Rhinolophus ferrumequinum: one gene and its partners. The protein of the gene in region 3 interacts with the protein of the main gene of each other region in a pairwise test. Links are inferred from orthologs where the notes say so. Each region holds a gene or a part of one and is shown on either strand. Other genes may lie near its edges. The genes, in order: USP2, RAB33A, CCDC136 and NDN.

Region 1 (7,432 bases), on a different chromosome or scaffold from region 3:
GGTAGAATGGAGAAGGGGAACGGGGATATTTGTGCTCACATAATCCAGGAGCTCTGTCTAATTCTCTCAGGCCCCCAGGAGCCTCAACCTGTCCCCTCCCCTCCAGCCTGTCACTAGCAGCTCTGTCTCTCAGGGGCTGGCACCCAGTAACCCACCAGTTTAGTGCCTGATTGTCTTGCATGCCTTGGCAGGGGGTCATCCAAGGAAATTTGGGTCCATTTCTGTCTCTTGACTCCCACTAGTTGCCCAAGGGCTGGGAGAGGGGCAGAAGAGATAAAATAAAGAGATTAAAGATTAGAACAAGAATTCTGATTGGTGGAAAAAAAGTGGGTGGGCCTAGGATAGTGTCCCTATTGGGCACTTCCTGATTTGGGGTTGGGAGGGGGTAGGCATCCTAAACTTCCAAGAAAAGACAATGAAATGCCCCTCCCCCCAGCCTCAAGCAGTACTGGAATCCTTAAATACCCTTTTCTAGCCACCTCTGTCCAGGCACTCTCCTGGTGTCCCCTCCCCAGGGGAGAGTGGCTTTGTCGTCAGCCTCTAGCCTTTGGTCTTGCCCACAGCACCCACCAAGCCCAGTGGGGCGACCTCTTAAATGTTCCCCCAGTAGACAATCTGTTCAGCGGATCTGCAGAGCTCAGATACTGAAGGGGCAGCTACTGACCTGTGTCCGGGGGCAATGGACAGGATCTGGGGGCTTCTCCTTCCCCAGCAGGGCCAGGAGCGCAGTAGAGAGCTGGGAGACTGGAGTCTGACTCTGGGCTGGGTAATCTGGAGCTCAGGTTACTGACTCTGATATATATATAGTATCTTATCTGACCTCAGAGGGATGGCTAGCTCAACTCACTTGCATTCCAAACCCGGGGAGAATTAAAGGGGCAGTGACAGGCCCTCTCTCGAGGGTCTGCCCTGATGGGCCAGCATGCCAGGCAAGGAAATCCAAGAGGACTCTTTGAAGGGGGTCATTCTGACATGGAACAAAAGAGGGATTCAAGGGGAAACAACTGGAAAGAGGGCAGAGGGATGGGGCTGGAATTGAGGCAAAAATATGGAGAAGGAGGTGTCAGTCACAGAATTAGAGAAGAGGAAGAGGCCACAGTGCTAATCCAGTTCCTTCAGTTTTGAGATGCAGAAGACCTTGAGATGGCCAGCAGCTTGCTCAAGGGCGCACAGACAGTGGGAGGCAGGAGGGACAAGCTCTCAGGTTTTCAGTCCAAACTCTTTTATAATAGACTTCTAGGCCTGGGCTTGTATTCCAGTTCTTTCTCTTTTATTGACTCTGAAACAGTGGGCAAATCACTTAAGCTGTCTGAATCTTAGTTATATAATCTTTAAAACTGGAGTAATAGTCAATAATAATGCTACACCTCAGTTGTATTAGATAAAATAATATTTGTAAATTTCCTCGCGCATACTAGGAGTACAATAAATGATAATTATACTGAATACTTCCACTTATCATACTTAGTGGTAGTATTTGTAGTAGCATCTCCCAAGTAAACCAGAGAGAAAACCTCTGGTTCAGAGGATGTGGGGCATTACCCCTCCGAGTGCCCTGTTCCAATGACAGAGAACAGCCCCAGGCTTTTCTGAGCTTGTCCATGTCCCATAACTGGCAAGGGCAAATGAGGTTTGCTATATTCCCAGCTGTCCACCCCACTCAGCCAAGAAGGGCCAAGCCCATTTGGGCTCCTTTCCCCTTTGCCTGGAAAAATATAGCAAATGCGGCTTCTCCCAGGCTACCAGGAGAAAGCCCAGCTGCTCTGGGGTGGCTCCACTCTACCTGTAGGAGTGCTCAGGATTCCAAGGCCACAGAACTGGGCTGGTCAGGGTCATAGGAGGAAGGAGCTGGATTCTTAACCTCTTGGGCTTTGGTGCTCTTGTTGGCTCCCAGTCTGTTTCTCGATGGTGCTCTCTGCGGACTGGGAGTCCCCAGGCGGTGCCTCCACCCTGTTTCAGCAGAGACTACTGACTCAGCTTGGGTCCTGATGATGCACTTCAGAGGATGCCCTTGTCCCCGGCCCTCATTCCAGTCCTCATGATGATTCCAGGTTGGCATGCATCTACAGCATCAAAGGAGTAGGGGATGCCCCAAGCCCCAGCCTAACCAGCTTTCCTTTCCTCCACTTTATAGGGTCCAACTTGGGGAACCTTCTCATACCCTTGCTTGGGGAGGTGAGCATCACTACAGTCTCCAACTTAGTCCCATTCTAGAAGCAGCCAGGTCGGGAAGTCGATGTTCTCTCCTCAGAGAACAGCTAGAATGGGATGGCCATGACTTGGCTTGGCTAAAGTTATTTGCCTTGGAGCACGGCACCTGCATCTGGTTTGGGATTGTTGAGATTTTTCAAAGATGCCTCTTTCTGGTTTGGATTTGGTGGAAAATCTTCCCTTTCTACTTAACTGTTGCCCTCTCCCTCCCCCACCTCCTTTGGCAAACTGAGCAGCGGCAGCCCTCCCCACCAGGGAGTATGTGAACTGCATGCACACCTGAGGAAGGGACTGTCATTGTCCAGGAGGCACTCTCAGGCCACATACCTCACGGCAGAGACCTGGACCTGCCGAAGCAGCATTTCCTTAGAACACACTGACCAGCACACAGATGGCTCTTCCTGGCACCCTGGGCTGTCAGTTGGCAGGTTCCCCCCCCCCCCCGCGACACCCCCCCCCCACAACTGGCACCCGCAGCTGGAGCTCCTCCCAGTAGCTGGCACTCGCCCTACATTTCTAGTAGCCATTCTGCCTAGGCTGTCGTTGACACCTCACTTTCTGAGTCTCAAACGGCACTGACCTCTGCATCCTTCCTCCCCAGCCTCCGACAAGTGGCATGTACCTGCTTCTTCTCACACGATGGACGAGTCGAGCCGGGCACAAGCATGGAGCTGCGGGTGAGTCCCGGCTGGTACTGGCGCGGCGCAGTGAGCAGCTGACGCTGAGGGCTCCCTGGCCTTGGCTCTTGCTGGCCTCTCCTCCACCTCCGCCGGGGGCCCAGAAAGGACCTCCCCGGGAAATCGGTGCCACCCAGCGGGCAGCCGCCTCATTGCGCCCGGGCAGGCAAAACCGCACCCCACGTTTGCGTCACTGAGAAGCGTCACGGCTATTGGCTTGTTCCCATTATGGCGTCATTAGAGCCCCGCCCTCATAGGGGTCTCCCTGGCAAGATAAATGGAGAACCACGTGGAGGAAAAGCTTGCGAGTTTTGAGGGGGATGAGCACAAAAAGAAGTGGAATGGAATGTCACACCAGGGGGCAGCTGGAAGGTACTGGGAAAGTTGTGGGGAGAAGGCCCAGAATTTGAGCCACCTGGCATATATATCAATTTTCAGTTTTTAGGGAGGGGCCGGGAGAAAGCCTACTCTTTAGCCTCTTCTTTTTCTCTACTCTTAAAGACACTCCTCATTTTACTAACAGGAGACCATCGATCGGGATGACTTCTTCAGTGGGTAAACAAACGGAGGCACTGAGTCAGTGGAAGGGATTCTCTTTGGTCTTTTAAGAAAAAGCTGAGACAGAACTTGAATTTTTGACATTCCCATTCTTTATTTGTAAACTTTCCCTCCTTTACCCATGAAGGTGAATAAAAACACACAGCCAGGTAGATTGGTGTCAAGGCAAATCCAGGTTTTCAATTTCACCTGGATCATCAATCCTAGAAAAATAAAGCCAGTACAACGCGCACCACCCCCACTCCAGGAGAAAGTCCAGCTGCTTCGGAGTGGTTCTACTCTATCTGTAGGAGAGCTCAGGCCTTGGCTCCTGCTTAGCTCCTTCTCCCATTCTCCACTGCTATTATTTCTGTCCATTACTATTCTCCTTAAGTCCTTCCGTGTTTTCTATTTTGCAGAGAAATTATAGGCAATCAGGAGACAAATACTTAAATTTCTGCCTACAAACATATATGAATCCATTCTTACCTCTACTTAAGGTAAAATGTGGTGTGTCTCTTCTTGTTCAAGACAAATCCCTTCTGGGTCTCAACCCTTTGTTTCCTTAGGGCCCTTATCTGGTCACATTCCACATATGGCTATTGAACGAGCCAGGTGCTCTTCTAGGTTTTGGGGATACAACATTGAACAAAACAGGCAAAATCCTTGCCTTCAAGTGGCTTACATTCTAGTAGAGGCAGAAGGACAATAATCAAATAAGTAGGATATATAGTATGTTAGATGACAGTAATAGCTATGGAGGCAAATAAATCAGGAAGGGGGATATGGAGTGTGTAAAGTATGGTCAGAGATGGCCTCAATGAGAAGGTGACATTTCAGTGACCTGAAGGAGGTGAAGGAATGAGCCATCTTGATATCTTGGGGGATGATGCTCTAGGCAGAGGGAACAGTAAATGCAAAGGTCCTGAGGTGGGAGCATATTTGCCACTTTTGTGGAAGAACCAGGTCAGTGTTGCTGGATTAAAGAGAGAGCGAGAGAGTGGAGATGGGGTCAAAGAAAAAAGGGAGGGACTTCAAATTGGCTCTAAGGCCAATTTGATGAGTTTGGCTTTTACTCTGAGATGGGAGCCGTTGATTTTGAGCAGAGGAGGGACATGGATCTGACTTTTTTTTTTTTTTTTTAACAGAATCCTTTTAGCTGCTGAATGGAGAACAGATCTGAAGAGAGGCAGAGAAGAAGCAGGAGACCATTTAGGAGGTTCCTGCAATCATCCATGAGAGCTGATAGTGGCTTGGGTTAGTGTAGTGAGAGGTGGTGAGTAGTGGTTGGATTCTGAATGTATTTTGAATATCCTGCCAACAAGGTCTACTGTGAGAGAAAGGGAGGGATTTTTCGCCTAAACGTTGAGAAGGTGTAGGCTGTGGAAGGAGCAGGTTTTGGGGTGGTGGGAGGTCACGAGCTTGGTTTAATACATATTAAGTTTGAGATGTCTATCAGGCACATCAAGATGTCAAGAAAGCGGTTGGATGTACAAGTTTGGCTAAGTCTGGGTCAGAGATATAAAATTGAGAGTCATCAGCATATGGATGTTATTTAAGACCATGAGCTTAGAAGAGATCACCAAGGGAGCAAGTATAAATAGAAAGATGTGCAAGGACTGAATCCTGGAGTTCTTCAACATTAAATGACTTTAGAAATGAGTAGGAACCAGCAAAGAAACTTAGGAATGGCCAGTGACATAGGGAAAAAACAAATCTAGGAGATGGTGATATGCTGGAAACCAAGAAAAGGAAACTTACCAAGGAAGAAAGAAATAGAAATTTTGTCAAATGCTGCATGTAGGTAAAATAAGAAGAGTCTGAGAATTGATTTAGAAGGTTGTTGGTGACTTTGACAAGAATAGTTTTGGTGTGTGTGGGAGTGAAATCTCGATTGTGGGTGGGTTCCAGATAGAATGGGAGGAGAAGGATTGATACAGTACTGTGTAGAGAATTCTAGAGTTTTGTGGTAAAGGAAGTAGAGATTGGGTGGGTGCTAAAAGAAATGAGGTCAAAAATATTTCTTAAATGGCAGAAATAGCTATATGTTTGTATAGCTGATGAGAAGGAGCCAATAGAGAGTGAGATTTGATAATGCTGGAGAGAGAGGAGAGTAGCTGGAGCAATGTCCTTGATGAGGTAGGAAGGGATGGGATCTAGTACAGAGTGAGGGCCTGGCTTGGTTAGGGGCACAGAGAATTCATCCAAAGGAAGAAGAGAGAAGGCAAAATATTTGCAGGGAGGTGAATGGATGTGGTAGAAGCTAGTGGAGATTCTCTCCTGGTGGTCTCTTTTCTCTCAGTGAGTTAGGAAGCAAGGTTAGCTGAGAGTGAATCAAGGATAAAGGAGGAAGTGTTGGAAATTTAGAGAGAGAGGAGGAGTTGTAAACCAGCCACCTAGGGTAGTGGTTCTCAAACTTGATTGGGTATCAGAATTACCTACAGAGTCTGTTAAGGCCCCACCCAGAATTTCAGATTCTGGAGATCTGGAGTAGGCCTCAGAACTTGCATTTCTAACAAGTTTCCAAGTGATGGTGGAACAGCTGGCCTGGGAACAGCCCTTTGAGAACCACTGTGCTGGCAAATGGGAGAGAGAATGGATTGTGGAAATATAGTAGGGTTGTCAGGCATCCTCAAGGGCCATTAGAAATCATGTATTGAACTGTCTCTCTTCAGCATTTGTTCTCATGTTCACAGTCACTGTCTGTCACAGGTTCAGTCTTGTAGCTTTAAAACTTTCATTTTCTACTGACATTCCCTTTGACATATAATAGTCTCCAAATTCTTCCTCTTTGCAAAATAAAAATCTATAGCTTCGGTTCTTGCTCTTTCCTCTTCACAGTTCTCTTGCAAGAGTTGTGCAGGCTGTGTTTCCCCACCTCCCTGTCTGTGCAGCATCCTCATACCTTCTACCTCTCAGACATCAGGAAACTCTTCTTACCCAGTCATTGTGATCTCCTACTTGCTAACTCCAGGAGGCCTTTTTAGTTATAATCAGTTAATTGCCCTCCTCCAACTATTTCCTCTTTAAAGTTCTTTCCTCCTTTAGGTTTTATAATACAGTGCTTTTCTGGTATTCCTCTTGACAGCTCCTTCTCATTCTCCTTTTCCTCTAGTGTTCCTTTATCCTCTTTATTGCTAGTGTAGCTTATAGCACAGTGATTGTTACACAGTAGTCCACTTTATCTGCAGTTTCACTTTCTGTGGTTTCAGTTACCCACGGTCAACCGTGGTCCGAAAATATTAAATGGAAAATTCCAGAAATAAATAATTCATAAGTATTACATTGCCCACTGTTCTGAGTGGTATGATGAAATCTCGTGCCATCCCACTCCATCCGGCCCCGAATGTGAATCGTTTCTTTGTCCAATGTATCCGCGTTATATACGCTATGTGCTTGTTAGTCACTTAGCAGCCATTTCAGTTATCAGATCAACTGTCGCAGTACCACGGAGCTTGTATTCAAGTAACCCTTATTTTACTTAATAATGGGCCCTATGGCCATTCACATAACTTTTATTAGAGTCAATTGTTATAATTATTACTTGTTGATCGCTTACTGTGCCTAACTTATAAATTAACTTTATCATAGGTAGGTATAGGGGAAAAACATAGTGTACGAGGCCTGACAATTAGGTTTGCGAACTCATCCTACAAAATACTGCATACCTCATTATTGAATATCATTACAGTCACCATCAAAGTACTCCCCTTGGGAAGCTATGCACCAATACCAGCACCTAGTCCACCCTTCAAAGCAATTTTGGAACTCTTTTCCTGGAAAGGCCATAAAAGCTGTTGTCGTATTACCCTTGAGGTCCTGAATGTCATTAAAATGTCTTCCTTTCAATATTTCCTTTATCTTCGGGTAAAGAAAGAAGTCACTGGGGGCCAGATCAGGTGAGTAGGGACGGTGTTCCAATAGAGTCATTTATTTACTGGCTAAAAACGCCCTCACAGACAAAACAGTGTCGCGTGAGCTGGTGCATTGTCGTGATGCAAGAGCCC
Region 2 (7,831 bases), on a different chromosome or scaffold from region 3:
ATGGGGTTTCAAACCCCTAGGGATGGCACTGGTAATTAAGAGAGTAGCCCCAAATATGCTAAATCAGTCATCCCCCTGTAGGGGTTGACATAGTGCTACTCTGGGGCACAGGGAGGCAGCCCAGGAGACGCCACACCCTACTCTTGAACTGAGAGAAGAGCTCACTGAGCCCTCTCCATTTTCCTGCGAGGACTGGCATTTTATAGCCTGACAGCCTTTCATTGCTGGCTGTGGTCTAGGGCCACCTCAGCCTGTCAGACTGGACTTTTCTCTCTTCCCCAAAGGGAGAAGCCTTTGGCAGTCACCTCCTAGCATGGTTTTGGTACTTGTTCCTTGAGAAACACCAGGCCATCAGAGTATGGGACCAAATCTTCTTAGATCATGCGCTTGCTGCTATGTTCTGCCATCTTCCCACAGACATGCTGGGCCTGCCTGCTGGCTTTGGCCCTGAAGTTGCAGCAGCTTTACAAGCGGCAGGGTCCCCATCTCCCCACACCCACATCCCACCCTGAGCTCCTTCAGAATCTGCTCTCAGAGGGCTCCTTCATATCACCAAGTTGAAAATATCACCTTCCTCTGAAAAACCTGTATTGAGCACTTCTCTGCACGTGGTGTCCTGCTGAGCTCCGTTTCTAGTGAGTCACACTGTCACAGGCACTGCCCCCTGGGAAAAAGTCCAGAATCTTTGGCAGAGACTACAAAATCCAGTTTGGCTAGGTACTGGGCTGTTGGAAGGGAAGGAACCTTTTAAAAATTCCCCTGAGGTCACTGGGTGATGACCCTCTTCCACTCGTTTTTCACCTCCCATTGTCCAGTTTCTAGCTTCCTTCTCCCCCAGACTCCCAAACACTTCCTTTTTCCTCCCTGTACATTTCAGGTGGACTCATTTCCCCTCTTAAATCCAGAGAGCTGTTTGGCTCAATGTGAAACTTGATTTTAAACAGGCAATAGCATTAAATTTTAAGGGTCTTGAGTGCTTAAGAGCACAGCCGTAAGTATATTTCTACTTTGGATGCTTTAGAAATTCCAGAATCTTACAACTTTACGTAAAGAAGCTAGACACCCTAGAGAAAGTTCTAACCAAGGAAATGTCAACATAAAACCCTGGGAAAGGAGAAAAGACAGATACTTACTTTGACTTTAAAAAGAAAATGTAGGAATTCCCCCCAAAATGTAAGAGGCAAGAAATATCACTATTTCAAAACAGTGTCCTATATTCCTGACCCTGGGGTTTCGTTGTTCTCGAGAACTTTCCCTTACCAGTACTGCAATGCCCATCTTCCTGACATATCTAGTGCCTTGGCCAGGTTTCTGAAGCCATTTTAAAACATGTTCATTTTAATAATCAAGGAGTCTGTACAGTTTACAATGTTCCACATTCTCCCCAGTTACTCAGCCCTTCTCTCCACCTCACGCCTGTGGTCATTTGAGCTGTTTGACCAGCAGGAGGGAGGTTTACCTTTGCAGGACAGGGTCTGACCATAGGCTCAAGAAAAGGCCTGTTGTGGGTCTAGTGGAGTTGGTCTTTAGTGCCCTGTCTTTTGAAGTGACTTTCCTGCCCATAACCCTGCCTCTCTCTGTTCCCCTGACACATTAAGCTGCCCTTGTCATGTCCCCCCTCCCGCTAGCCTCTGCACATTGAAATATCCTGGTCCTATCGAGTTTGCACTGTTGATGAACTGAAAGTGAGTACAAATGGTCAGACAAGAATATCTGTACTTAGCTGATCTCACAAACTAACGAGAGGGTAGGAGCAAGACACTTACTTCCCTTGGCCCTCAGAGAAGTTGCTCTGCATTTTTACAAAGGCCTGCTGAAGACAATACCAATAGAATGAATAATGGCATTAGGTACCCCAGACAAATAAAGAAGATATCATTTGAGGGGGACTGTTCCAAAAGAATAAGTTTTGTCTATTATGGAGGGCTGGCAGGTGACCCTGTCTCAATTTCTTTAAAAGGGCTCATGACTTTGTGCCAGAACCACCCCACTCCACCCCTATTCCAGCTCAGCCATAATCTTAGCCATAAACTGTAATTCTCTGTGGATTTCCATTCTTTCCTCCCCTGTAATGTCTCAGGGCTTAACCAAAGTGGGTTTTTGCACCCTATTGGCACCCAAGAGGAAGAAGAGACCTCAAGATGTGTAAAGTGCTTTGGGATCCACCCCACAGAGCAGGACCAGGTTACCTCATACCTCCCTCTGCCCACAGGTGCCGCTGCTCCTGGCTCAGGGTCAAGGATGGGATCTCACATGCTTTTCCTGGCAGGAGCTGTCAGGCAGGGACAGAGGGCATGAATGCACCCTCTCCGGCCTGCCCTAAAAAAAAACGGGCAAGGTGGGAACCAGGCCGCTGAGAAAGGCGAAAGAGGATGAGGAGGTGCTGAGGGTCTAGGGCTCAGCAAGCAGCGACGCAGCCACGAACCTGACCAGACCGTTCACAACCACTAGAGCATGCGTCAGGCGAGGACCCCTCCCAGAGCCCTCCCTTCCCGGACCTGACCGTCTGGATCACCTTGATCTTCTCGCCCTCGATTTCTACGGTCTTCTCCCTGAAGTCCACACCGATGGTGGCCTCAGTCTTGTCCGGGAAGGTCCCCCCACAGAAGCGGAAGGTCAGGCAGGTCTTGCCCACGTTGGAGTCACCAATAACGATGATTTTGAAGATGCGAATCTGCACGTACTGGTCCAGCGACGAGTCAAGCTCCAGGGATGCCAGGCTAGCTGCCGAGGTGGGCTGCAGGCTCCCATGGCCCAGGATGGGCTGCGCCATCTCCCAGGGACCGGACCGGGGCCCCAACCCTCCTGGTGGGCTCCACACAAAGAAAACGGCCACGTTAGTGCGCTCCAGGCGAGCGAGCTTTGTGCGTGTGTGTGCGTGTCCGTGAGTGTGTCCGCGCGTGTGTGCGTGCGCCGTCCCCGTGCGCGCGCGCGCGCGTGGGGTGCCTTTCACCCCAGGTCCCCCTCCTCCTCTTCCTCCTCCTCCTCCTCCTCCAGTGCACCCTCCTCGCAGCTCGGAGGCACCAACACAAAAGCCAGTCAGGGGAGGAGAGATGGAAGAGAGACTGCAAGGCACGAGCCCTCTCCTTCAGCCTTGCCCTCGGAGGGGCGGGTGGGGCGTGCGACCCCGCCTCCACCGCTGCAGCTGCCGTGGCGCCTTGGCCTAGACCCTCCCCTGTCTGGACCCCAGGGACACACCACAAAGAGGAAGCTTACAGAGGAAAGGAGGGTGGGGAGAGCGGCACACACCACCCCGGGATGGTCCTCCTTTCTCCATGACCCCATTTATTTTATAGATCTCAGGCTCCCCACCCCCATTTTCTCGGAGCGCACGGGGGTCCGCTCTGGAGCATTTCAGCCTCGGAGCAACACCACTTTACTCGGCGGGGACTGGGTGCGGGGAGGAGACACCTCCAGAGCTGCAGGCAGCTGAGCTGAGCCTCTGCAGCTTCCTCCCAAGCCTTGGGATAAAGGGATGCTCTGTTTTATTGAGGAAGCAGGTGCACTCGCGCGCGCGAGGAGCCAGGGAGGGCGCCGCCAATACACGCTGCAGGGCACCGGTGTGCATGTGTAGGGGGAGTTACTGTTTCTCTCACAGACTTGCCAGATGTGTGTGTGGGGGGGTGCGTGCCAGGCGCCAACCTTCCCTCATCACACCAGGAACACCCATCTTCTGAATGTTCAGAAGAGCGGCTCCCATTGGCTGCGGCAGTCAGTTGTGTTTGACTGGCCAATGGGGAAGGCCGGCCACCGGAGGGAGCCATACAGGGGGTAGGAGAAGCGGGGAAGCTAGTGGTGGCAGCTCCAGCAAAAGGGGACTTTGTTTCTGGGGCTAACCATTCCAAGCCCAGGTGGAGGGCTCTTGGGACAAGGCATAAATCTCACAGCGTCTTGCATTCCAGAGCCCTCCATGTAATCATAAGTCCTTCCAGAATGGTGGAGTTTCAAAAGGAATTGGAAACCCCTAGGAGGGTTCACCCCTCTGCAACTGAATGTAGAACAAAGTGGTTGGGTCTAATTTGTTAAAAGCCTAAATTATGCTTGGAAAATGATAAATGAACAGAACTTTCTTCTGGTAGTGGGGAGCAGCTTCCCCAAGCTTATTAAGCATCACACATCTTGGTCAAGACCAGTATTCCCTTTCCCAAATGTGATTTGCAGGTTCACAATTTCTTTAAAATAACTTGACTGAGGTACAATTTCCACACAATAAAGTGCACCACTTTCGTGTTTGCTTTAAGACTTGAACCATCCTTCCACATATTTCATAGGCTAAGGTAATATTAACATATGCCAGTAGCACTGACATGAGTTATTTGCTAATGTCATCAAGGTCAGGGACTCCAGCAAGACACATGAGCTGCCATCTTACTTGTGTGGGGCTCAGCTGCAGAAGAGACAAACATAACTAAATCCATTCCCACTGTGAGAAAAACAATTCAGTGCATCAGTGATAGGTCTGTAAACAAAGTGGAATATGACTGCTCAGCCCAGTCCAAGTTACTCAGAATGGCTGGGGAAATGGGGTCTTCTAGTTATACAGTGTTTCCCCGAAAATAAGACCTACTCGGACAATCAGCTCTAATGTGTCTTTTGGAGCAAAAATTAACATAAGACCTATTTTAATTTTTGCTCCAAAGGACGCATTAGAGCTGATTGTCTGACTAAGTCTTATTTTCGGGGAAACAGGGTAAGCTTTTTAGTTGAGTTAGCAGATATATTTATAGCTAACTCTTTTAGCATATATGTGGGTTACCCATTTCTAAAACCCTAGATCATGCTATTCAATATTAAAACCATCTCAAGAAGGATTTAATCTTAGTTGGATAATCCAAGGTCATCATTATGAATACCAATTATCATTATACAGTGGGAATGGCAATCACCATTGTACAGTATTTTTGTTTTTTATGATTGGTTGATGTCTAGATAATAGTTTGCAGCATCATTGTCGTCTGTATTTGAAGCTAATGCTCCTGGTAATCATTATCTACAGAAGAGCAGCTATTAAAAGGGGGGCAGGTAACTATGAATTAGGCATATCCAACAGGTAGAGCGGAAAGAAGCTTTGCCAATTTATAGCCAGACTTAATGCTAACTTTCTAATATAAAAAAACTATATTCACATAAGATTATTTAGATGTACTAGGTTTACAATTAAGTTTGTGAACTTATTGCAACGATGTTGCTAACATTTTTTTATTTTATTTATGAATACATTATGAATTTGTACCAGCTGGACAGTTAACCAAGTTTACTATCGGGAAGTGCTGAAAAGGCTGCGTGAAAAAGTTAGACAACCTGAACTTTTCGCCAACAACTCAAGGCTCTTACATCACCACAATGCACCAGCTCACAGCACACTGTCTATGAGGGAGTTTTTAGCTAGTAAACAAATCACTGTATTGGAACACCCTCTCTACTTACCTGATCTGGCCCCCAATGACTACTTTTTTTACCCAAAGATAAAGGAAATATGGAAAGGAAGACATTTTGATGACATTCAGGACATCAAGGGTAATACGAGGACAGCTCTGATGGCCATTCTAGAAAATGAGTTCCAAAATTGCTTTGAAGGGTGGACTAGACGCTGGTGTCGGGTGCATAGCTTCCCACGGGGAGTACTTCGAAGGTGACCATAGTGATATTCAGCAATGAGGTATGTAGCACTTTTTCTAGGATGAGTTCGCGAACTTAATTGTCAGACCGCATATGCTTCCAGCAAAAAACTCATCACTGAGTCTGAGAGTTCACATTATATTTGTAAGATAGAAACACTAATTTCTGGAGACTTGATATCTCAAAGTGGGCCCCATTTCCTAATAAAAAGTGTTTGTTACCTCTGTGGGATGAGATTTTGGGGAACTTCCACTTATATTTTTGGAGTTAGTTTTTGATGTGTGTATATTGCTTTTACAAAAAAAGATGAAATATAATTTTTAATTAAAAGGACAAGAAATCTACCTCATTGCACCTATTGCAAAAATAAGTTAAAAGTGCTGTACAATGCCTTTTCTTTGTTAATTGTGCATCATTAAATGCACAATTGACTGTCTTTCAAATTTACCCAGTTGTTTTCATAGGTACCTTATCATCATAATTTTGACAGTGTTTTCCAAAGCCTCATCCACCAACAGATATGATTAACTTTTTATTTAATCAATCCATGTTTATTATTGGCTTTTAGAAATAGCAAGAAATATCAACATCTGTGAAACTTTTAAAATACTAAATATAAATATTTTTTTTACCTTATTGTGGAATTGACATTTTCAATATTTATTCCCCAATGCAGCCCTAGGGGAAAAGTTGCCCACTGCCTGCACTTCTGAACATTACTCTTAATGAGCAAGGGATCCCTGGATCATTTTCACCGAGTAAAGACTGCTTTCTGGGTTAAACTTCCTGAAATGCCTTAGTAATTTCGTTCTCTATCCCTATTCTACTGAAAGCCAAAAATAATGTCATCACCTACACGATTGCGGCCAAACACTTTGGCTAGTTCAAATCTGGCTCCACCATATTAACCTGTCCTCATTTACTTCCTAGTATGTACTCTCTGCCATTGTCTCCTGAAAATGAGCTGGGTTTTGTTTCTTTTATACTTCCAAGCCTTTTGATTTAAACAGCATGGTGCTTCCTCTAAGATGCTTTATTTATGAATATTAGCTCATTTAATTTTCTTATCAACCCTGTGAGATTGGTAGATGAGGAAAGTGAGACACCGTTAAGTGACTTGTCCAAGTGGCAGAGCCAGGATTCAACCTGGGGCAGACTGGATCCAAAATCAATGGTGTTTAATCACTAAAAATATTACCTTCGGTCCCAATGTATTCACCATCTGAAATATCATTTCTCCTCCTCCATTATTTGAATTTCACTACTCATCCTTCAAGACAGGCTCAAGTAATACTTCTTGCTTGAAGTCCTTCCTTAGCTATTTCATCTCATATTCTTTTTTCTTGCTCTTGCACTACATCAGATATTATTATTTAAAATGACCAGTGTATGTCATCTCCCCACCTGGACAGTGACCACTTCCTATATTTTTCGTATCCCCTAGAGCTCTTTTCATATAGTCCAAATGGCAAGTGCTCAATAAATACTTGTTAAGTGAGTATGTAAACCAAAACTTTGAAAAAGGCATATGTTATGTTTTGCATACAGCCAAAATTTATTTCCAATTTAGCTTATATTTGATAGCCAAAACCCCTATTTACACTCAGCCCCGCACCCTACTCCTCCCACAACTCTGAAAGTCCTGCTTAGGCTTTCTCTCGCAGAAAGTCTGTGAAGCACGAACGCTTTTTGCCAGCACCTGCTCTCAAAAAACGAAGTCATAATAAAATAGCAAGAGACTATCCACAGCATCTGATACAGCACTTAGGACTCAGAATTACACAATATAAAAGCGGTATGGGAAAAGAGAGCGCGGAATGAAGACATGCCCCAGAATAGTGGTAAAGTGCCCAGAATAGGGGTTGGATGGGAAGGCAATTTGTAAAAGACGGAAGTCCAATCCGAATCTGGAAAGCCAGGAGCCCCGGCTCAAATCTATGGAAAGACTGGAAGTGGACTACAGCTAGAGAGAGAATCCGGAAGGCTTAGTACTTAGTAGTAGCTAGTGGCCTAAAACAGAAAAACAAAATTTGGTGCTGAGGCCACGCTTTTTGAGGTGCTATTAATATCAGTTCCCAACATCGACACAGCGGCAGCACTCGCCACAAACAGCCAGGCAAATCAGCCCCACGGGTCCCTCCTTGGACAGCTTTTCAAAGTCGCTGAGCCGAACATACTGCCACCAACCCGTGAAAACTAACAAGCAAGCCCA
Region 3 (7,326 bases):
TCTCCAGCTTGAAGGCTGGGATTTACCTTGGAGTTGCTGGATCTGCTTGGTGAACACTTCTGCCTGCTGGGCGCTGGCCAGCCGTTCATCCTCCAAGAGCCCTGCATGGAGAGAGGGCCAGCATCAGGCCTGGGATGGTGAGCATAGAGCATTTGGGCGCAGCCCTCAGGCCCCAGCATGGACACTCACCCTGCAGCTCCAGGGAGTCGTCCTCATGCTGCCCTGCCAGTTCCCGGGTCTCCTCCAGCTCTGTCACCAGCTGCAGCACCTGAGCCCTCAGCTCCTCCAGCTCTGTCTCCGTGAGGCTCAGGCCCCGGTGCTTCCCAACTGATAGGGAACCTACACTGCCACCTTTCTGAACTTGATCTTCTTCTTCTTCCACCTCTTCCTCCTCCTCCTCCTCCTCCTCTTCCTCCTCATAGAGAGCTGGGAGTAACACTTCCCCTAGGAGAGACACCCATCCCGCCAGGGGGTCAGAGCCAACTTCCTTTCCACAGTCCTCCGAGGGCCCTCAAACTCACTGTCCCCGGGCAGAGATGGCATACTAGTGCCACCTGGTGTCCCCCAAAGAGCCCCTGGGGAGGACCTGCACTCCTGAGTCCTCAGGTGTGAGGGTCATATTTGGAGGTAGCCCATTCCCCCGCCCAGGCCCTTTCTGGACCAGTGCTGCACCTGGTGGCCTCCTATTACTGCCTTTGGGGAAACTGAGCAGCTCAGTGCTGGCTCAGCCATGTGAAGTTTGCATAAGAATACCCACTCCTTCCAGTCCTGGTCTCTGGGGCGTGGGACAAGTAGTCAAGAAAAGATTCAGACACTGGACGTGTCTTTAGGCCAAATGGGGCAAGAGTTACAGTCGGGGTCTTTGTAGAGAGTTCAAAAACTGTCCAGGTAGCTTGTGAGAAATTAGCCTTTCCGTAATAAGATCGCATTGCCTGTCAGTAGGCAAACAAAGAAAACAGCTAAATGAAGCGAGTCTCAATGTTTTACTGGACAAACGGGGGCCCTTTTAAATGTGCTCTATCGAATAGCCTTTTTGAAATTTTCCACAAGGCCCACCTTCCTTTTCCCTGCTGAGTGTGTGTGTGTGGGGGGGGGGGGGCGCGGGTTTCCTCTCCCCTCCCTGAGTGTTATGAGGCCTTTCCCGCGGCTGATCAATGTACAGAGTAGTTTTCAGGGCGGAAGTCTGAGGTACTTGTGCGTAAAGTCTGAGGTACTTGTGTGCCATTTTAATGCATTAAGAAACTGGGGTGTGCTGGTCCCCAGCCTCTGGTTGGCAAGCACCCCCTCCTTTGCTGCAATGCAGTTCCTCCAAATAGCAAAAATCTTGTCTGGGTGGTGATTGTTGGCTTTGTTTTAAAATTCTGAATCCCTGGTCTTACTTTCTCCGATAACAGCAGCCTAAGGTTCATCTGGGACCCCTTGCATTTTCTGTTCCCTTTGGGGGAACAGGGTTGCCCACACTGAGGGTGCACAGGGGTCTGAGGACACTTCACAGGAAGTCATGGAAAAACGGACCAGCATCCTTTTAGGGGCCTGGTGTTGGCAACAACTACCAAGGTGCATGGGTGTGGTGGGGTCACAGGAGTGTTGGGAGGTTGGCCTTCTCACCTGTCCCCCTCCCAGGCAATCTCTCTCAGGCAGTATGCGACCCTAGAGCACCAAAGGCACAAGGCTTGCATATAAAGTTAGTGGTGGTGACACCAGGAAGACAATTCACATGCTCACTTCTCTGCTTTTCAAAAGAAGAGACAGGTTGGGATCTGGGTCGAGAGGCAGTGAGAACAAACCCCCTGCAGAAAGGCTGCTTCAAAGCTCTGTCCAACCAGGCCTTTCTCTGTCTGGCAGCTTCCCCAGGACACAACCTGGTTAGCTTGTGATTAAGGCCCCAAAGGGAGGCGCTGGGCACCTCCCTCAAATCCTCAACCCTGAGGAGGGGTGGAGGGGCCTCAGGTGAACTGGGGAAAGGGCCCAGAGTTCTGGGGATCAGAGGGAGGAGGGAAGAGGGGGAGAGAAAGAAAGCTTTCTGGGAAAACTCACCCTCCATAGCTTGCATCCCCCGCCTCTCCAAGGACCCCCAGCGTTGGCCTTTCTTCCTCTCACAGCCCTCGGATACCTCGTAGGAGCCCAGAGTGGTTACTGTGGGTCCTGTGAGCAGGGAGAGAGGAGGGATTGTGGGATGCCAGGGGCGGCTGGGGGCTGGCATGCCTTCTAGCCCTTTGGAGCCCTGAGGGTTTCAATCCTGGTGGACGTGCTCGGCTCACTCCGCCCAGCACCGCGACTCTGCTCCTTCAGCCGCCCCTCGCGCTGGGCCTGCGGGGACCCCGCCCTGCGCGGCCCAACCTCCTCAGCAGCCTCCGTTCAAGGCTCCTCTCCCTTGCACAGACGGAAGGGGCGTGTGTCTCTTTAGCCTAGAGGGGACAGGAGGAGAGGGGAAAGGATGGGAGAGAGGGCAGAAGCTAGTAAAGAAGCGGCTGAAAGGGTGAGGTGGTGCGTGGAAGGGGAGGCAGGTGGCGATGGGCAGGAGGCGCCGTGGGAAGGGGTCTGGGCCAGAGCCGCTCCCCTCCCCTCCATTCTCTCCCTGGACCTCGCCCGCCCCACCCTCGCCCTGCGCTAAGAAGCCTTCGGGGGTGCAGGGGCTGGAGCCCCCTGGGCTGGAGAGACGTGATGGAGAGGGCTCAGGGAAAGAACTGCCAGAGAGGATGCTGCCGGTGGCGGAAGACTCAGCGGGAAAGATGGAGACCGGGCCCGGGTGAGGGGCGGGACGGAGGGAGGGAGATTTAGGAGGGGAAGGTGGGCGCAGCGGAGGGAGGGAAGACGTGGGGGTCTGCAGGGAGGAAAGATGGAGAAGAGGAAGGCGCGGCGGGGGAGAGGTGAGGGAGGGGCGGCTCTGACCTGGGCAGCTCCAGCCCTCGGCTCCCGCGCCGGCCTCGGCGCCCGCCTCCATGGCCTCTCGCGCTGCCGCCGCCGCCGCCGCCGGGAGCAGACGCCGCAGCAGCGAGGCCGGGACCCGGAGCCTGGCGCGCAGGGCTGGGGGGGCGGGCCGAGGGGGCGGGGCCTGGCCGGGCCACCTGACGCCGCCGCCGCCCGCGGTCCGCCGCCGCCTGGAAGCCCGCTCCGCTGCGCGACCGGGTGCGGGCAGGCGGGAGCGGGAAGGGTGAGGGAGCGCGTCCCAGGACGCTCGTGGCCTCGCCGAGCGAGTGGGGCGAGCGGGCCGAGGCTCGTCGGGACTTGAGGTCTCCCCAAGAGGTAGACACAAGATCCCTTGCTCTGGTGATGGGTCCTTCCTGGAGTCGACTGCGCACGAGGACCCGTCTGCGCCATTTGTCAGGTCCCCGTCCCTCTCAGTGGTGGAAGAAAAGGTCAAAGATGGACAAATGCTCCCGGCCTGTTCCTTCCAAACGCGTAGACACGCTCACATCACTCAAGACCCATGCCCCCACCTCCGTTGTTAGCGCTGACCCCCTTTCGCCGCCCCAGCGCGGCGCAGTGGCCTCTCGCTCCCCAGAGCTGCATGAGAAATGGACCAGGGAAGCCAAGGCCGGAATACATGAAATGCGGGTCCTTGATCTCTCTGCTTTCCTGACGCCTCCACCAAGCCAGAACCAGGGACCCTCAGGAGCGCCCGCTCCATGGCCCCACGCAGCCTTGGCTGCCTGGAGACCTCCTCACTCCACCACTCGGCCTTCCCAACTGGCCCTACACCCCGTGGGCTGCAAGCCACGACCCCCACCCACCCTGCCGGTGCAGCCGTCTCAGAGTGCGTACTGCTGATTTTCACTCTGGCAAAAGGGAGAGGTGGAAGCCCAGAGAGCTGGTTTCACTTATTCAGTCATTCACTCAAGGAATGTCTACCAGGAGCCCAAGGCAGTTGTTCTCACATCTTTGCAGGAAAGAAGTGGTGACACACTTGGGAACCTGGGCATCCCAGCAGATGCAGAAAAGTACCAGGAGATTCCCAAGCCAGGGACACACACCAATTCCTTCTCTTGCATACCTACTCACAAAGTCATGGGTACCTATTATCTGTGTCCACCCCCCATCTCCCACCTTCACAAGCCCCCCATAATACTCAGGAAAGAAGTCCTCCTTTGGCTGGGCATCCCCTACTTATCCTTCACCCCTTCATCGGGGTCACCTGTGGGCAGCCTTCTCTGACATCCCTGTGAGATGCCCCTGCTCGCTCCACCCTGCCCTCCTGCCCTCTAGGGCAGTGCCAGTCACTCTGGGTTGTCAAGGTCAGGTGTTTACTCTTCTGTTTGCCCACTTTCTGGAAGGTTGGGGAGTATCTTAGTCATTTTTTTCTTTTTATCTCTAGCATCTGGCAAAGTACCTGACACATAGAATAAATGAGTAAAGGTAAATCTCCCAACTATGCAGTTAATAGTGTCTTATCATTTAACATGATTTCACACTTAGGGAGTTAAATGTTACCTAATAATGATGATGTTGCCCTATAAGTCTCTCTCTCTCTCTCTCTCTCTCTCTCTCTCTCTCTCTCTCTCTCTCTCTCTCTCTCTCCCTCTCTTTCTCCTCTCCTTTTTTTCTCCCCCTCATACCTCCAGCCTGGTGTGCTCTGAGAGATGACGAGCACAGGTCAAGGAGGTTTCATTTGCTCCCCAGATGACAGGATTTCACTCCCGGTCCTGTGGTCAAGGTGACCCAGTCATGGGGAAAGGCTGTTGAACAAGACCACTCAGACCCGTTCCAGAGGGTCTGCTGCATCTATCAGGCTTGTCTAGACTTGGTGAGCAGGGCAATTGTCAGAGATGGTGGAAAGAGGCTGGCATTGGGAGGGTGGGGGTGCAGAGAGCTCTGGGGACTGATAGAGCCTAATGCTGGAAGCTCAGTGGCTATTTGTTCTGCCACAGCACAGCTGTGGTTCTGGCTCAGCCAGTATGGTCAGTGAGCAGTTGACCTTGATTGCTAACTTTTTGGCTGATGGAGGGAGGGGCAGGGGAGGACATTGTCAACTGTGACGTCCGGGGGTCCAACCTGTCCTCGGGGAGCTCTGATCCTGGGCATTAAGACTAATCTCTCCTTGGCTTCCGGGGTGCAGGTCACTATTCACCCTTCATTGGGTAAGTATTCAGGGGAGACCTGAGCCAATCTATTCTCAAGACCCAAATTTGGGCCATCCCTGGCCAGACCAGCACTGGGTTGAGGGTGGGGTGAAGTTAGGAGGCAGGAGGAAAGGGCACAGCAGGTGTAGGTAAGTGGCCTGGGGCCCTGGGCTGCAGCTCAGAAGGGGCGGAAGTGGTTGGAATGCCAGCCAGGTAATCAGCTTAGGGGGATGATGTGCACTAATCCTCAAAATCCCTGGACTCAGGACTCAGCCTCCCTCCTAATCCCTTCCCACAGATCATCCTCTCTGAGGATTGATGTGGCCATTTATCCCCATTTACCCTTATTTCTAACTGCCTAGATCCCTTCATTAAAAAGAAAGAAAATGTGGAGCTTTTAAACATGCAGAAAAGTACAGGACAGAGAATAACATAACAAATACCCATGCACACACTGCTGAAATCCAACAACTGTTCATGTTTTGCCACATCTGGTTCAGAGATAGCCTTTCGATTTATGGTTTTACAGTTTTGCTCCATATGTACGCATCCACAAGCAATACGGAAGATTGATTTGTGTGCTTAAAAACCTATCTAAATGGTGTTCTTTCGTATACATTTTTATGTAAACTTTCTTTTTTCTCAACTTTTTTTTTTTTTTTTTCATGTATCCATGTTGTTTCATGTAGCTCCTCCAATTTGTGAATTTTAACTACGGAATACTATTTCATTGTTTGAATATACCACAATTTATTTATCCATTCTTCTGCTGATGGGCATTTACAATGTTTCCAGTTTTCTGTATTATAAACAATGCTGCCACAGACAGTGATATGCATGCCTCTTTGGCATATATGTAAGCACTTCTCTAAGGTGGATACCTAGAAATAGCATTTTTTGGTCATAGAATATGTGTTTAACATTGCTAGGTAAACTGTACTAGTTATTGCCAAATTGCTGTATCAGGAAGCTGGACCAATTTACACTCTACTTACAGTGGCTTTCGATGCTTGTTTAGATTCACTAACACATTTATAAATTTCTCTTTTCACCATTGTTCTTGGAGTCCACGCCTTCCTTCTTATGAAGTATATCCTTCGGTGGCATTTCAGTGAAACTGTTTGAGTGGTAAACAGTCTCAGTCTTTGTGTTAATCTGTCCTTATGTCACGCCATTTAAATGGAAATTTAGTGGGCATAGAATTTGTGGTTGACAGTTTTTTTCTTGGTCTTTTGAAAATGTTTTATTTTTTTGTATAAAATTTTGTGGCTAATACGAAGTCCGCTTCCAATATAATTGTTAACTTTGTAGGCAATGATGACTTTTTCTTTTTTTTCTGGTTGCTTTTAAGAGTTTTCTCTTCCTCTTCAGTAGTCTACAGTTTCACCACAATGTATTTATAAACTCAGGACTCTTCAACCTGAGGACTCTGTCTTTCTTCCATTTTGGAAAATCCTCAACCATTATCTGTTAGAATATTATGTTCCCCCATTCTTCAGGAACTCCTATTTTATATATATATATAATGGTATGAAAGGCAAAATACACACACACACACACACACATATATATATACACATTATTCTTTCTCTCATGTTTTTAAATTATTCTTTCATATTTTCTATTTCATCACTTTCCCCTCACCACCCCCGTTTTGAATGATTTTTATTACCGCTGTCTTCCAAGTCACTAATTCTCTTTCCAGTTGGGTCTAGTCTACTGTTTAATGGATCACTGAGTCTTTAATTTCAATGGTATGTTTTTCATTTCTTAATGTTTTATAGCCCTCCAATAAACTGCTTTTTTCATCATACAATATTTTTATTATGGTATATTTTCTTATCTTTAGTCTTTAATGCTTTTAAGTATTCTTATATACTTGTTTTTCACATTGTTCTATTATGCACAGTTTTTGGAGTGTTAAGTCTCCTGTTTGCTGTATCTGCTGACTCCTCCTTACGGTGGATTGCTTCCTTGTCTAGTTTATAATATTTCATTGTGAGCTCTTCTTCAGCAGGTGTTTTCGTTTGTGTTTCTGTTTTTTAGTGAGAATCGCATATACCCTTGGTTATGAAAACATTCTTACAGAACACTTCTTTGCTTCTGTGGGGGCTGTGTGATATTTTCCTAGGGATTTCAAGGGTCCTAAACCAGGATTATATTTAATTTCTCTGCTCGAGGAGCAGCACCATGCAAAAAATATCAATCCAGATGCAGTACAAGCTTTGTTCAGACTTGGCACTTCAGTCTCTCAGGGTTGACTTGT
Region 4 (6,535 bases), on a different chromosome or scaffold from region 3:
CTCTGTCTGGGTTCAAATCCCAGCTCCTCCTCTTACTAAGCTTTCGGATCCAGGGAAAGTTAGTTCCCGACTTTGCTCGGGGCAGATGTAATGAAAGCCTGTCTCATAAGGCCGTCGTGAGGATTCAATCAAAGGAGCAAATGCACGGGAAGGGTTTAGTACAATGCCTCCCTCTTTAAGTGCCCACAAAACACAGCTATTAATTTTAATAAAATGTACAAAATTCAAGAGAGGACGTTAACAGTGGTTTTTACGTGGTGTGATTATGAGCATGTTTGCTTTCTTTTTCTTGTTTTTCTACTTTTCTGTAGTTGTCGAAGTTTTGACGTGAACCTGTGAGTTACATTTAAACAATAAAACTGTAGCGTTCACACTTTTAGGAGTAACGATGAGTCGTGACTGTCCCACCTTAGTAGACGAAAAAGTTATGGTATTTGTACATTTTGAAAAACGTCTCACTCCCAACTTACATTGTGAAAGAGATAAAGTACACTTTTCCAAAAATGATTGTATCACAAGAATCTTTAATGTTGCAAGTTTACTCATGGTGGGGTTGTACTTGTGTTTAGTAAACTGTGCCAAGTGCCCACATTGAGACCATGTGAGACCACACCGGCGCACTCCGCACGGGTGTTTCCTGTGCCCCGCGAGGTCATTAACTGAGGGGACCTTGACTTTTCTCTTGGTCAGGCCAGCTTTACTGGGGAGTTCTTCCTGCCTCCCCGGGGCAGTCTACCCGAGACACACATCATCCGTTCCATAGAAAAGAATAAGATGGAAAACTTCTCAATGTATTTCATAAGTTTAGCACATCTCTGGTACAAAAATTCAAGAAAGGTAGCACAAAAGCGAAAGCACCGACCGAGCTTACTTATAAACAAACATGCAGAAGTCCTACCCACTACCTAATAGTACTGAAATGAATACAACATTGCATTAAAAGGTATAAAAGCACTGTACTGAAAACTTAAAAGTTACACGTGAAATACTGCACTGGAAATCCTGAATACGCTACCGCCCACCCACCCCCGCCCCGCCACCCTGGTGAGGGTCAGACACCAGGAATCTGCCTCCAGACCTTGCTAGTCCTCGGAGACACTGCTGCGGGGGCAGTGGGCAGTGGGCTCGGCCTCCCGCAGCGCCCTGGCCTCCTCCAGAGCCTCTCTGTATCGGGAAGGCCAGGCCTGGGGGTCTTTCTTAAAGACCCTGGCCAGAAACTCCATGATTTGCATCTTGGTGATCTCCCGGCTGGCGCGGGCGCCCCAGAAGAACTCGTATTCAGGTGGCTCCACGTGGGGTACGCGCTGGTACTTCAGGTAGTTCTGCTGCACGAACTCCTCGGTGATGAGCTTCCTCACGTCGCCAAAGGTGGAGTGCTTCTTCCAGGGCCGCAGCCCGAGGATGCGCAGCACGTTCCAGACCGCGCTCTCCCGGGCGCCGCGGCCCTTCACATAGATGAGGCTCAGGATCATGAGCAGGAGGCCTGTCATGGGCATGCGGTTGCTCAGCGCCACCCTGTCCAGCTCCTCGGGCTCGAGCGCTTTGACCAGCGAGAACTCCATGGTGTGCAGGCTGCTCAGCCTCAGGTGCAGCCCGAACACTCGGGCGAGGATGAGGCTGGTGCGCCTCAGGATGCTGCGGCACCACTTCTTGTAGCTGCCGATGACATCTTTCACCATGTCTGGGAACCAGATGATCATCCTCTTCTGGTCCTTCACCAGCACGTACCACATGAGCTCGTGCGCCTTCTGCACCAGCTGGGCCGGGGCGGGCGGCGCGGGGCCGGGCTGGGCCGCGCTCGGGGCCTGCTGGGCGCGGCCTTCCTCCGCGGCCTGCTGCAGGGCCTTCGGGTCGGCCTCGTCGCTCGGGGCCTGGGGCGGCGGCGAGGCGACAGGGGCGTCGCTCGGGCCTGCGGCGGGGCTGTCCGGCCCTGCGAGGGTCGCGGCCTGAGACGCGGGCGCCGAGGGCCCCCCGGGAACCCCGCTGCCGCCGTGCACCTCGCAGGTGGCGGCCTGGGCTGCAAAGCCGGGGTCGCACTCATCCTTACTTTGTTCCGACATGTCGGCTCTGTGTGACCAGGGCAGGGCCTCTGCGTCCAGGAGCTCTTCGAGCTTGCGCTCCCTCCGCGGACTCCTGGAGAGGAAGTGCGCGTTGCTGCGCGCGGCGCCTTCCGCAGAGGCCAGGAGGGGCGGGGCGGCGGCGGGCGGCCACTGCGCCTGCGCGTCCGCCACCGCGGGCCCGGCTGCCGGGGGTGGGGCGGGGAGCCCGACGGGGCGGGTGTCCCCCGAGCCCCCTGAGAGGGTGAGGGCAGCTGGGATAAGGGCAGCAGTGACCCCCGGGTGGCCTGTGGGCGCCAAGCACGTCTGGGGACGGAGAAGGGTGAGCACTGGAGAAGGAGCAAACTGAAGCAGAAAGATGAGAACTTAACTTCTGAGATGCTGAGGTTGAGTTTCTTAGAAAACGTTTAACAAGGTACATCCAGAAGCAGATTAGATACAAGCGCCCCAGAGAAAGGCGTCGGCTGTTGTGTAAAGGTGGGTTTCCTGACAAATATATATACACACACATATTAAGAAAGGAAAAGCACTGTATTAAAATTGTAGTACTCAATATAGGCTGATAACGAAAGATGAATACAAGTCATGTGTATACATGTTTTTGGCACCTTGGGTATGTAACATGTATAGAAGCACTTATGAAAATGTTCATAAAAGCACGACAATTACAACCGTTTAAGATGTCCTGCTCGGGAGCTCTCAGAGCTCAGGCCAGACAGCAGCCTCCTGGGATTCAGTTGCTGCCGGAGCTGGACTGCGCCTCATTCTGGTGAGGCTGCCCCTGGCCAACAGTGGAGCCTCGTGTCTACCACAGCTCCGTCACAGCTCACGGCTGGCAGGAGGGCCGGCTAGGACTGTGTCAGGGTGTGTAGTTTGTGCTCGGAGGGTTTAGAGTATTGGAACCGAATCCCAAGTTTGGAATCAAGTACAGGGTAGACCCTTAGCGATGCTCACGCTTGCAGCCCAACTGGACGCCTCTTCAGATGACGAGGATGAGGTCTGCTGAAGAGGCTCCATTGCCCACCAACAAGAAAGTTCCTGTAAAGGGACGTGGAAATATGTAAAGCTTGGGACCACCTTTAAGTAGAGAAAATGCACTGGCACGTGTGTCACGGGAGGGGTCAGTAGCTTGATGGCTTCCTAAGAAGGTGCCTACCCATAAGCCAGAGATGCAGACTTTCGTGACCATAAGGAAGGGGACAGATGACACCACGGGAGGGGAAGAAGAGGAAGCCAGTACTCATGAGGCTTCTACAACTCCTTTAATTCAAGGTCAAGGATTGGGGATGAGATCCAGTGTTGCCCTGAGAATTCTGAGGATTCATCAGGCTTGCTGGGTTTCCCCAGGTTGGCCCTATTTGATAAGGGCAATGAGTCCTTCCCCGCCAGCATCTTAGAAGCAAATGCTCAAAGTTTACAAAAAAGCTCCCCAAGCAAACTCGTGAAGGGCTGCCTTTAAAATCTAGATTCTGTAAATCTAGTTTCATGGATGCAGGAAGTCTATGGAGAAGTTACCACTTAAAATCTTCTGGTGCAGACAGTTTTGCTGGTGGCTTCCTTCAAACTCTATAATGTGGAACCGATTACACAGCTGTGGGATAGGCTGTTCTTGGCAGACTCGGGGAACGGGAGGAGAGGCCTGTCCTGCCACTGGTTTCCATAGTGAACAGAGGAAGGGGGGTCACCCTGGAGCCTCCGGGGGAGAGCACGCATGCTCACAGCACAGAGGCCCAGAGGCCCCGCGTGAAATGTGACTCTTTCTGGCCCCATCCTGTCCACACAGGCAGCACACTCAACCTTGAGTCCCGCACGGGCCCCACATGCAGGCTGAAGGACTGAGGAAGATAACTCGCATGAACGTGCTCAGCAATTATTGAGCAACGTCTGTTATGTGCCTGAGAGTTTCATTTTAGAAAAGTAGCTCGTTCTCGGGGGGTGGAAAACAACCCATCGGGACTGTTTGCAGCCTGGCCACTTTTTCTTAGAAAAGAATAAGATGTGAGACCAGGCAGGGCTGTTTTTTACAGTTGGGAGGTGAAGGGAGGGGACTCGAGCCTGGCCCCTCAGCCACTCCAGTGTCCCTAGAGTGACACTGCATGCCTGTCCAACTGAGGCCCAAGGACACTCACTGAAATGTGAGAGCTTCTCGTCCCGCCCAGACCCACAGGGACCCACAGGGACTGACACTCAGGCACGGACAGGGTCGGTGTCTTCAGAAAGGTCAACTGGAATCAGAGTGAAGCCTGGATGGAGGCTGGGGGCAGGTGGAGAAGGAGAGGTAGAGAGACCGCCTTGGAGACCTTCCACGGGACTCCACTTGGAAAGGAGGGTGCAACTATTTACTACACCCTACATTTCGGGCATTGTGCCTGAGTATAGAACGAGAAGAGACCTGGTCTCTGCAGTGTATCGTGAGGGGAAATGGTGGAGGGGGAGGGCCCCGAGCAAAGAAACAAATGAGTAATTAAATAATCATGGTGTGATGCGTACCACGAAGGAGCCATGATATTGAGGCAGAGCAGAGAATAAAGGGAACCAGTGTCGAGCAGGGATGGCAGAGAAGATATAGATAATAAGGAGATGCGAGGGGAGACTGAGTGCCGGGGACGACCAGACTCTGTCTCGGGGTGGCCGGGATCGACCAGTGCCACGCGGCTAGGATATGGAGGCACTGTTTCCTGAGACTACTCGGAGAAGAGAGTGGACACGCCCTGCAGATATCTGGATATATAGGTCTCAGGAAAGAGGCCTGGGCTGAAAAGTGAGGTTTGGGAGGTAAGACGGTAAATAATGTCACCCTGAGAGCATCTAGAGCAGAATTCTTCAAGGGGACCGCTCGTGGTGCGAGGGTGGGGTAATTTTTCATTGTGTGAAAATGTAACACACACCACAGAGATTGACACCTTGGTCCCCGTAAACACACATGTAAACGTCTTTCTGACATGGACAGAACAGAAAGTGTAAGAAGAGAAAAAAGATGCCCTCCCCCTACAGTGCCAAAAGCCCTTTTATGGGCCGTACCTTTTCTTGTTGAGAATCATTGAAAATAACAAGTGAGAAGGAAGAAAGACAGAGCTGAACCAACAGGCCTCTTTCCAGACATATAGGATTTCCTCACTGTATCTGTTTCTGGGACATTTCTTCTTGATGATAAATCCTGTCAAATAAACAGACCTGCGTTCAAGTTTGTGTTGCGTAATTCTTTTTACATATTGCTGATTCAATCTGCTGGTATTTTGTTGAGGATTCTTGTGTGTGTGTTCTTCTGGGATATTGGTCTGTAGTGATCTCTTTTTGTGCTGTCTTTATCCGTTGTTTTTTACATTAAAGTATAGTTGGCATACAATTTTAGATTAGTTTCAGGTGTACAACATAGTGATTTGACATTTATATACGTTACAATATGATCACCACTCTAAGTCTCGTACCCATCTGTCACCGTTATTGACAATATTGACTATATCACACTGTTATTGACGATATTTCCCTTCACCTTTGTGACAAATCCTATCACCCACCCACCCCCATCAGTTTATTTTTTGTTTTTGTGAGTCTAGTTTTGTTTTGTTTGTTCGTTTGCTTTGATTTTTTAAACTTCCATATATAAGTAAAATCATGTGATTTTTGTCTGTCTCTAACTGACTTCTTTCACTTACATAATACACTCTAGGTCCATCCATGTTCTCGCAAATAGCAGGATTTCATGCTTTTTTATTGCTGAATAATTTTTCATTACACACACGTGTGTGCACGTGTGTACACACACACACACACACACACACACATCTCATCTTCTTTCTCCATTTATCTATCAATGGACACCTAAGCTGCTTCCACGTCTTGGCTATTGTAAGTAATGCTGCAGTGAACATAGTGGTGCAGATATGTTTACAAATTAGTGTTTTCATTTTCTTTGGATAAATGCCCAGAAGTGGAATTGCTGGGTCATATGGTAGTTCTATTTTCAGATTTTTGAGGAACCTCCATACTGTTTTCCATCGTGGCTGCACCAATTTACATTCCCATCAATAGTGCACAAAGGTTCCCTTTTCTCCACATCCTCACCAACACTTGTTTGTTGACTTTTCAATAATAGCCATTCTGACAGGTGTGAGGTGACATCTCATGGTAGTTTTGATTTACATTTCCCTGATGATTAGTGAAATTGAGTATCCTTTCACATGTCTGTTGGCCATCTGTATGTCCTCTTTGGAGAAATGTCTATTCAGGTATTCTGCCCATTTTTTGATTGGATGTTTATTTTTTGTTATTGAGTTGTATGAGTTCCTTAATATATTTTAGATATCAACCCCTTATCAGATATATCATTTGTGAATATCTTCTCCCAATCAGTAGGTTGTCTTTTTGTTTTATTGATGGTTTCCATCACTTTTTAGTTTGATATAGTCTCATATGTTTATTTTTTCTTTTGTTTCCCTTATCTAAGGAGACATATCCAAAAAGATATTGCTAAGAGA

The links.
Region 1: the proteins of CCDC136 (region 3) and USP2 interact in binary tests that used the Homo sapiens proteins (3 or more experiments, as listed by UniProt). The two-hybrid records come from large-scale screens. The link is inferred for Rhinolophus ferrumequinum from reciprocal best matches to the Homo sapiens genes CCDC136 and USP2.
Region 2: the proteins of CCDC136 (region 3) and RAB33A interact in binary tests that used the Homo sapiens proteins (3 or more experiments, as listed by UniProt). The two-hybrid records come from large-scale screens. The link is inferred for Rhinolophus ferrumequinum from reciprocal best matches to the Homo sapiens genes CCDC136 and RAB33A.
Region 4: the proteins of CCDC136 (region 3) and NDN interact in a two-hybrid assay, tested with the Homo sapiens proteins (2 studies listed by BioGRID). The link is inferred for Rhinolophus ferrumequinum from reciprocal best matches to the Homo sapiens genes CCDC136 and NDN.

Annotation. Positions count from the first base shown.
Region 1 is NC_046294.1:88,611,560-88,618,991, forward strand, and holds the start of USP2 (ubiquitin carboxyl-terminal hydrolase 2), read right to left. Parts: upstream 3,009-7,432; 5' UTR 2,834-3,008; exon of another isoform or gene 2,792-2,833; intron 761-2,791; exon of another isoform or gene 665-760; intron 1-664. UniProt on the Homo sapiens protein: Hydrolase that deubiquitinates polyubiquitinated target proteins such as MDM2, MDM4 and CCND1. Isoform 1 and isoform 4 possess both ubiquitin-specific peptidase and isopeptidase activities.
Region 2 is NC_046284.1:25,857,609-25,865,439, forward strand, and holds the start of RAB33A (ras-related protein Rab-33A), read right to left. Parts: upstream 3,016-7,831; 5' UTR 2,774-3,015; coding exon 2,504-2,773; intron 1-2,503.
Region 3 is NC_046309.1:17,344,716-17,352,041, forward strand, and holds the start of CCDC136 (coiled-coil domain-containing protein 136), read right to left. Parts: upstream 2,945-7,326; coding exon 2,893-2,944; intron 2,409-2,892; exon of another isoform or gene 2,204-2,408; coding exon of another isoform or gene 2,146-2,203; coding exon 2,038-2,145; intron 445-2,037; coding exon 190-444; intron 102-189; coding exon 27-101; intron 1-26. UniProt on the Homo sapiens protein: May play a role in acrosome formation in spermatogenesis and in fertilization.
Region 4 is NC_046311.1:14,636,322-14,642,856, forward strand, and holds NDN (necdin), read right to left. Parts: upstream 2,188-6,535; 5' UTR 2,061-2,187; coding exon 1,083-2,060; 3' UTR 505-1,082; downstream 1-504. UniProt on the Homo sapiens protein: Growth suppressor that facilitates the entry of the cell into cell cycle arrest.